2 linked regions of the Drosophila melanogaster genome follow. The protein of the gene in region 1 purifies or fractionates together with the protein of each later gene. This does not show direct contact. Each region holds a gene or a part of one and is shown in the gene's direction. Other genes may lie near its edges. The genes, in order: heca and raptor.

The links.
Region 2: the proteins of heca (region 1) and raptor purify together in Drosophila melanogaster (affinity purification with western blotting; one study listed by BioGRID). This does not show direct contact.

What each region holds. Positions count from the first base shown.
Region 1 is NT_033777.3:30,276,164-30,281,205, forward strand, and holds the start of heca (headcase), read left to right. Parts: upstream 1-1,768; 5' UTR 1,769-2,780; coding exon 2,781-4,084; intron 4,085-5,042. UniProt on the Drosophila melanogaster protein: Required for imaginal cell differentiation, may be involved in hormonal responsiveness during metamorphosis. Involved in an inhibitory signaling mechanism to determine the number of cells that will form unicellular sprouts in the trachea.
Region 2 is NC_004354.4:6,086,897-6,091,831, reverse strand, and holds the start of raptor (raptor), read left to right. Parts: upstream 1-1,630; 5' UTR 1,631-2,125; coding exon 2,126-3,560; intron 3,561-3,618; coding exon 3,619-4,935. Other genes in the region: Mipp2 (multiple inositol polyphosphate phosphatase 2), read left to right, coding at 538-715, 990-1,423.

The sequences.
Region 1 (5,042 bases):
CTGACTTAATTATTATATCAGAACCCTCTGGTTCTCTCCCTCCTGCTCGCTCTTCTTCTACCCGGCAGGTCAAAATCGAGAGAAAAAAATGGAAACTGCGCAGTTTGACTCGAAAATAAGTGGAATTGGACCTTGACTTTGCACCGCAGTTACCAAAAGAATAGAACCCCGGATCCTGAGATCCTGAGTCCTATAAGAAAACCCCATCTGGTTGCGAGATCCCTTCCCTTTACCACTTTTCGTTCTACACGTGCCTGTTTTTTGCCATTTCTACCGCTTCTTCTTATTCGTTTTCGCATACTTTTTTTTTTTGCAACACAGCGGGAATTTTTATATGTGTGTATGTACATATATACACAAAGGCGAGGATACAATAAAAAGGCTCTACGTTTGAAAGCTTATTTGGGTTTTGGTGGCAACTTTAATACCCTACAGTCAAAACACAAATAAGTAGTCATAATACAAAAGTTACCTGCGATATTCGTAATCTTAGGACTAATATCAACAATTTAACTATTACAATTATTCATACATATGTACATACTTGTTTCAATTGAAAGCAGTAATAGGTCTGCGTATTCAAGTTTTAATTGGTTGTTTTAATTCAAGGTAGGGTATCTTCAACTCTTTTTCGTTCAATGTTTTAATTCTCTTCCTTTTTGTCTCTGCCACTTTTATTGCCAGCACTCGCATGCATTCATTGTATTTGTATTTTTGTGCAAATGTGCTTGCGAATATATAGGGGATTATATAGATACGTTTGTATGTAAATATATAACAGCAATCGAAGCGTGCGACAGAGAACGGCAGTTCCGACAGAGGGAGATGGAGACATCGAACGGCATTTCCACTTCCACTGGAATTAAAAGATTAGCCACGGAAAGCAAAAGTGCGCTGCAAGTTCGAGTTCCAGCGACTCGGCAACCCTGTTTTCATGTTGTTTACTTTGCCGGTTTCTGGCACAAACACATATGCACGCTCCATGCATGTGGAACAGAGCCAACGCGCTCGACGTTCGCATGGCAACTGCAGTCGAACATGTTGGAGGGGAAACGACCGGCTTCGAACTTGATTCGAACCAGCTTCGAGCCGCAACGAAAGTGAATTTTGGCGAATCATCGAGAGCTCCTAATTGTAAATGAAATGGATGTAAAATCTAAAAATTCTAATAAATAATTAAATTTAGATTATTTAATAATAATCGAATTCATTTAATTTTGGAACCAAAACATAGGGAGAAATATATATTCCTTTTTGGCTATAAAGTTAGAAACATGTTATTATTATTCTTATTAGTTTAAAGAAAATACGGCTTGATAGAAACATTTTCTATGGAAATGAAGCTTATTAACAAAAGTCTAAACTCCTACATATATTTTTAAGACATTTAATCTAATCAAGTATGTAACTGCTATCAAAAGTTCCGTTGTAAAGTGGGAAAATGTACCAAATTCTGGCCTACAGTGGAAAATTCTAGTGAATTAGACACTTTTTTTGTAGCCCCTTCCGCAATTTTCCCCCACCATTTCTCATTTTAGCGCCAAAAATCTGTTCAGTTTTCCACCGAATGAAAAGCGAGCGGTTGGCGGCGGTGGTGGAAAGTGAAAACCAGCCAACCACCACCCACCAACCCCGAAAAACGGAATGAAGAAGTGCGGAAAATCGGAGTGGAGGAAAACTCCAACTTCGCTGCCAATGCCAAGCAGCGACGCCGGCAGCGATGTTCGACGCGCGATGTTCGAACGCGGCGAGCAAGCACAGACCAAAAACAGTTTGAATTTCGCTTTCGATCTGGTTGGTTGTGTTTTTTGGCTTCTCTCTGCGTGCGCCGCTCGTGGTGGGAAAAAACGGAAAACAGGAGAACTAGCAAAACCGAATAAATCGAAGAGGAACACTCCAGTTTACAATTGTCCTGCGACTAAAAACCAATCGGAAATTTACACTATCCTCTAATCCTTTTTGTTTGCCGGCAAAAAAATAAGAGGCGCAAAGAAATAAACGCAGAAAGCGAAGCAAAATGTGAAAAATTGCCGAACATGGCGCCGCGTGTGTGAATGAGAGCGAACGATCGTGTGAGAGGGAGATAGGGACGAAGCGAAGATAAACAATAAAAAAAAAACAATTTTTGATACTTAAAGTTCTACAACAACAATAAACTCAGCTCAGGTACAACAACAAAACAGAAAATTACGCAAAACACAACAGACTGCATTGACGGGAATTTTTCGAAGTATTTTTGATACACACAGCAAGGAGGTGTACAATTTTTAAAGCAATAAGTGAAAGCAATTACCCATCAAGTTAAAAATAATACCAATCTCGGTAGAAACCCACTCGGAAAATCCAACTGAAAACAATTGAAAAAGGCAACCGAAAAGTTAAAACCTAAACAGACTAAATCGCTAAAATAACAAGCATTTACTATACACAAAAAAATTAAATTCCGTATAAAATCAGACTTTTGTCTGCAAAATTTCTAAAAATTTACAAAAACCCACTAAAATTCACGAAAACTCACTGGATCTGCCAAAACCATCAGTTGAAATATATTCTGGAATCGGTTCAAAAATAAATAAATATATGCCAGCAGCATTTATATAGACCGCAAATCGCACCATAAAATCGCGAAAAAATCAACAAGCAATATTTTGAAATTCATAATCGTTGGCAAAATGCTGATTCGAAATAGAGATTGAGGATTCTCGAGGACAGCCAACCCAGCCAACCAACCAAGTTTTTCGCCGCAACGAGTGCATATTAAGAGGAAAAAACACAAATTTATGGCTCCGCGTCGCAACAGCAACATCAGCAGCAGCGGCAACAGCACCCAGCAGCAGCACCAGCAACAGTTGCAGCAGCAGCACCAGACGCAGCAGCATCAACTGCTGCAGTTCTACGCGGAGAACGTGAATTCTTCAGGCGTCCTAATGGCGCCCATGCAGGGAACCGGTGGCGTTGGCGGCGTTGGCGGCGGGGGCATGGTCCACTGCTGCCTGCCCAGCGGAGACTGTCGCAAACTGGACACCCTGATACACCTGAACGAGCTCTCCCTGGCGGACTGCATCCGTGTGCTGTGCAACAACGAGAACTGCAGCGCAGGCCAGTACATGCATCGCGAGTGCTTCGAGTGGTGGGAGGCGAGCGTGCTGCAGGCACTGAAGGCCAACGGTCGTGCTCGATCCTGGTCGGAGCGGCAGCGTCTGCAGCACCTGTGGACCAAGAAGGGCTACGAGCTGGTCCAGAAGGCCTGCAGCTGCAAGTGCGGCAGGGGACAATTGCGCAAGGACCTCGACTGGGTGCCGCCGAGCAGCCAGGGCGTCATATACCTCAACGGGTCTGGCAACCGGCCCACTCTGGCCAATGGCAGCCTCAGCGAGGACGACGACAAGAAGAAGGCCAAGAAGAAGAGGAACCGCAACAACAACAACAACAACGGCGGCGGCGGTGGTGGTGGTGCTGGTGTCAATGGCAACACCAAAACCCCCTTGAGCAACAACAACGGCAACAGCTACGCCGGACTCACGCCCAATCCCAATGTGGGCGTCATAGGGTCGGGTTTGCCCCACAACAACGGCAACACCGCCAGCAATGGCAGCAGTGGCAACAACGGCTCCTCCGGCGTTCTGCAGACCAGTGCGCTGGCCACTTTCAGCAACATCCTCAATACGAACAATGTCCTCGGCCTGGACCTGCGCGCCAGGGCTGGCAGCCTATCCTCCAGTGGAGCTGGCAGTGGATCCACCTCGCCCTCGGACTCCCAGTCCAGTGGCGAGATATCCGTGTCGCCGGTGCAGCAATTGCTGCCACAGCAGCAGCAGCAACAGCAGCAGTCGCTGCTGATCCAGCCTCTGGGTCCAGCTTTCGGCAGCAACCTTTTGCAAAATGGATTGGGCTTGTCCAAGAATCTGCTGATTGCTCCCCAGCAGCAGCAGCAGCAGCAGCTGCAACAACAACAGCAGCAGCAGAATAACCTGCCTGCTTTGGCCAATATCAGCAACTTCAAGCCATTGGCCAGCTACGAGCAGCAGCAACTTGTGCAGCAGCAGAAGAACAAGGAGGTCGAACTCTATTCCGATCGAGTGCGGTAAGTACAAGATATCATCATGATAACCATATAGATTATAAGGAGCTATAGTCTTATTGTCTAGAATTTCATCTTAAATACTTGGTTAACTTGTTTAACAAAGCGAAATTTGTGTGGCGAAATTCCCCAGCATGTGGTTGGGGTACATAAGCGTTTCAATATTTATTCACAAAACTTTTATCAATTACACTGAACGACAAGGGGGGCCTTAATATTTCGAATTTATTTACTGCAGTTGTTATAAGTTTTGTTTAGCTTTTCCTTTGATAAAACTTCCAGTGGCTTCAGGTGTTATCAACAAACATGCCAAATAGATACCAGATTGATACTCTCGTTCCTTTATCGTGTTGCACAGTGTTATCAACAATTGAGGCGTTTGTTTGCCCGTTTTTCGTTCGTTTGCCGGTTCCATAGATTATATAACCTTGACGACTGAACAGCTGCGAAATACAGACAATATTTGCAGAAATATTAAATAAAATGCGCTGGTTTATTCGAGAAATTTGCGAATATTTTCCCCTTAAGGAAGTCGACGATTTGCATCAACTCAGAGGGAATGAATAAAATATTATAATCTTTTGTTTTGTTGCTTTCGGTGGGTCAAGGCTTTCTTTCTTTTATTCTGCTGTAGTTCTTCACTCTTCATTGGCATTCTTTTTACTCATAAATCATAGGCAATGAAAAATTATTGAAATTTATATGCTGCCATATAGCAGCGGACATTTATCGTATGGTATGTTTCCCAGATGTGTTCTTGTTCTTATTTATTTTGTGCCTACTTTTAATATTTCCGTTTCCCAGAGCAGCGAATACTATTATTTATTTCATTGCGATCAAAAAAAAAAAAAAATGCGAATAGGAGAACAACACGAAGAGGAATTAGATCGCTTTTTGTGTTTTTTTTTTTTTTAATGTTGTTGTTTTGAACGCGATCTTCAGGTTTTAAGAATCCCAACCC
Region 2 (4,935 bases), on another chromosome or scaffold:
ATTCTTGGACAGGATATTCAAAATGCTTCCCTTGCCAACGCTTATTCCTTTTGCGTGTTTGGCGTGCGACTAAACCATTTTTTAATCGCTTAGTTTGCCGGGCCGGTTAAAACAGAGCTTTTTGAGGCAGAAAGCTCGATTGGGCGAAGTGAACACTTGTTGAGTGGCAATGCGCTGATTTAGGCACCTGCAAATCTAACTAAATTTATTATAAAATAGTGTTAATAAAGCTTCCTGAAATGAGTAATCAACCAAGCACTTACAACTGATGCCATCGAAGATGCTATTTAAAAATACCGCCAACTGGCGGTGGAAACGGGTTTTTTTTGGCTGCCCCATGTGTTAGGGCTGCCAGCTGAGCTGATAGCCTTGCCACCTTGCGCGACTAGCACACTTGTCAATTTGTTTTTCTTTCGTGTTTATTATTTCCTAGATTTCTTTTGAGCTGGCATTTCGTTCTGTTTTTCACGTTTTAACCCCGTTTTTCGGTAAACCTCGTTTCTAATCTCGTGACAAGTTTTTCCACCGCCCGGAAAGATGCTAAGCCAATTTTACTGCTTGTTTTTGTTGCTCCTCCACTTCTTCGTGGGCGTGACGTTGTCTGAAGAGGGGGAGTGCCGCCGCCTTAATCGCGCAGATATCGAGGGCAGACTGTCCACAAAGACGCCCTACAGAGCGATCGCAAATTATGACGAAACGCCACCGAAATACGCCGGTTTGTATTTTTGTTGTTTTCTGTGTAACGCACCCACAGTAGGCACCCGCTTAGAAATACAAACATGTGTTGTGCCATGTGACAGTTAACAGCGCTCGCTTAATACAGTGAATTCATAATCATGAAAGCATATGGATTCTTTATTGATCATAAAACAGAGAATCGCTTTAGATTTGTTATTATACTATTACTAGTTTATTATTACCGATGCCTACTGCTAGCAAATGGCAATGGAACAGCTGATTTTTCTCTTTTAACCGTTTCACCCGACAAGGCTGCCATCCGACGCGAATTTGGACCATCATCCGACACGGAACTAGAAATCCTAGCGAATCCGTTATCCTTCAGGCGCAAAATCGACTATCAGAGATAAAGAAACGCATTCTGGATCAGACGAAGCCGCCGATCTGCACCGCTGAATTGGAAAAGCTGCGCCAATGGCACTGGATGCATCTGAATGCCACTGAAGATGAGAAATTACTGGTGGCCGAGGGTGAGGATGAGCTGATTGAGCTGGCGGAACGGATGCAGCGGCGATTTCCGGATCTACTTCCGGAGTTGTACAATCCGGAGTGGTACTACTTCAAGTATACTGCGACCCAGAGAACGCTGAAAAGTGCGGAAAGCTTCGCTACGGGTTTGTTCGGCCGTCATCGCATCCATACTGTACGATATCCGCCGCCTTTGCACGAGGATCCTGTTTTGCGGGTGAGCAGTCCTTTAGTTTTTTCTGTCAATGTAACCAAAACAAACTTTTGAATTACGCGCTACAAATGAGCTTGTAATGATCTGGCAACGCCATTCATTACAGCTAGGCCATTTCGCTGTTAGTTTATTATCGATATCAATGTTGTAAACCGCTTGCCAGCGTGCAATCGAAAAAATCATCGATTTTTGTTCCAGCTCTATTTTCTGCGCAATTCTTTTCGTATAATATAATTCGATTAAACATAAATAAATAAACCCAAGCGAAAGTAAATAAACCTGTTAATGCGCACCATCTTCCGTCGGAGATCGCTCGCTATAGTTGTACGGTTTTTATTTTGTCCCGGCATCGACCTAATCAGCCCAGGCGGCGTGTTTTCCCCGAGTTCTTTTTACCCGTTTTCGGGAAATGGTCCGCGATCCGTAGGCGGAAAACGTGGAGAAGAGGAACGTGGAAAGAAAAGCAGAAAAGCGCGGAGCGGAGCTGAGGAGGCGCTGGCGGTGGTGGAGGTGCGGAAAGTGCGAAAAGTGTTTGGGGTTATGTGCTAGAGTCCCCTCGGGGGGATTTTTAGCTGATTGAATCCGCGACCGAGACGTAATCGCTCCGGGAAATCGCTCGCATTGAGCTGCACCCTCTCCTCGGCAAACGGAAAAAGAAAAAAAGCAATACAGCGAGAAACGAGAGAAACAAAAAGCACGCAGAACATGACAAGTGCCGTTCGCGCTAAGTCCGCCGCTGCCGCAGTCGGCGTCGCAGTCGACGAAAGCAGCGGCAGCAGCAACGGCAGCGTCGCGGATCAAGAGGTGGCCTCCAGCAAGGAGGCCGTCCTGAGCGTCCTAATCCGCAAGAGATACGAGAAATATGTATTCGCCCCGTGGGACGATCCGATAATCTTGATAATGGAGCAACTGGAGCACATCGAGCACTGTCGATCCGCCGCCTTGGGGAACCAGGTGGCCATCGGCCGGGACCCATCTCAGGACGACTCTCTGAACGACCTGGGTAAGGTGATTAGCAACATGAGGCAGGACCAATCACTGGTACCAATCGTGAAGCACATCGAGCAAATATCCGACATTCAGGCCTCCAACGGCCAGGAACTGGCCTCCCTCGGTTCTTTGAGGGAGCTAATCCGGACTATCAGAAAGGAATGGCCCCGGGACGACTCTATCAAACTGCGGTTGAAGGAAATACAGATCCTGGGCATGCCGCCCGCTCGGAGCTTATGCTTCGGCGAGCGTATCCGCGACGACAGGTGCCCGCTCTCCCTGCAGACTAAAAGGCACAAGGAGCGCATCCAGGCCATGATGTACGAGAGACAGCCGTGGCGCATCCGCGAGCGCATGAAGACGGCAAGTGTGGCCCTGGTTCTGTGCCTCAACATCGGCGTGGATCCGCCGGACGTGGTCAAGATCCAACCCTGCTCACGGCTAGAGTGCTGGATAGATCCCAGCTCGGTGTCCCCGCCAAAGGCCATGGAACTCATTGGAAGCAACCTGCAGATGCAGTACGAACGCTGGCAGCCAAGGGCCCGGTACAAGAAGTGCAACGATCCCACCGTGGATGACGTTAAGAAGCTCTGCACCTCCCTACGCCGGAACGCCAAGGGGGAGCGCATACTCTTCCACTACAACGGACACGGAGTGCCCAAGCCCACAGCCAACGGGGAGATCTGGGTGTTCAACAAGACCTTCACGCAGTACATCCCCCTGAGCATATTCGAGCTTATCACTTGGATGTCAGCGCCCTCCATCTACGTGTATGACTGCTCCAACGCCGGGATCATCATCAATTCGTTTCAGCCATACGCTAAACAGCACGAGGAAGAACTAGGGAAGGCGCTGGCCGCCGCCCAGCAGAGGGGTGGTGTCCAACAGTTAGTGGGCGGCTCTGGTGGTGCCGCCAACGTAGCCGCCAACCAGGTGCAGTTAACCAACCAGATGGTCAGTTACAAGAACTGTATACACCTGGCTGCCTGTGCTGCAAACGAGATTCTTCCGATGAATGCACAGCTGCCGGCGGATCTTTTCACCAGCTGTCTGACAACACCCATTAACATAGCGCTCAAGTGGTACGCCATGCAAGAAAAGCTGGGCATGGTACCGCGTATTCAGAGCGAACTGATCGACAAGATTCCAGGTAAGGTTATACCTTTACTCACCCAGGGAATGCTGTTAACCATTAAATTCTATCGCAGGCAAGGTCAACGACCGGCGCACTATGATGGGTGAGCTTAACTGGATCTTCACCGCCATTACGGACACGATAGCATGGAACACACTTCCTCGCGAGCTCTTTCAGCGCCTGTTTCGCCAGGATCTGCTGGTGGCCAGCTTGTTCCGCAATTTCCTGTTGGCCGAGCGCATTCTGCGAAGCCACGACTGCACACCAGTTTCCCTGCCTGCCCTGCCGCCTTGTTATCGCCATCCGATGTGGAAGGCCTGGGATCTGGTGGTAGATTTGGCTCTACAGCAGCTGCCGGAGATTCTCGATCACAATGCGCCGTACCGCCAGCTGCCATTCTTCGAGCACCAGCTCACGGCCTTCCAGGTTTGGCTGGACAGCGAATCGGAGTCGAGAACGCCACCGGAACAGCTGCCCATTGTGCTGCAGGTCCTACTGTCGCAGGTGCACCGTCTGAGGGCCTTGGAGCTGCTGGCTCGCTTTCTGGATCTTGGTCCGTGGGCCGTTAATCTCGCCCTGGGCGTGGGCATCTTTCCATACGTGCTTAAACTGCTGCAGAGTTCTACGCGCGAACTGCGACCCGTTTTGGTGTTCATTTGGGCCAAGATCCTGGCCGTGGATCCCAGCTGCCAGGTGGATCTGGTCAAGGAATACAAGTACTTCCTCTCCGTGCTGCAGGACACCTCCGTTTCCAAGGAGCACCGTACACTGTCCGCCTTTGTATTGTCCTCCATAGTGCACAACTTCCTGCTGGGACAGACGAGCGCGCTTCAAGGTCCCCTACTGTCTATTTGCCTTGAGCAGTTGAACGACGGAAGTTGGCTGCTGCGCCAGTGGCTAGCCATCTGTCTGGGCATGCTGTGGCAGAACTTTGAGAAGGCGCGTTGGTCGGGAGCACGCGACCTGGCGCACGAGAAGCTGTACGTACTGCTGCGGGACTCGATACCGGAAGTGAGAGCCGCTGCCGTCTTCGCCTTAGGCACATTTATTAGCTCCGTGACGGATCGTAGCGAGGAACAGGCCAATAATATCGATCGCATCATTGCCATTACCATGCTCGAAACCGTCGGCGAGGATATGTCGCCGCTGGTCCGCATGGAGCTGGCCGCCGCCCTGCAATGGATGGTGGTGCTCTTCGAGTCACAGTTCGTGGCAGTATATCTAACTGAACACATGCGCGGTCACGTCTCCGCCGCCTCGTTCGTGATGTGCCCCGATCCCCGGGATCTGACGTCTTCCACGCACAGCCTGGAGCGTCATGTGACCATTCGCAGGGGAGCCAGCTCCAGCTCCATATCCAACATGGGTGGTGCGTCAATAAGCTCGGGAA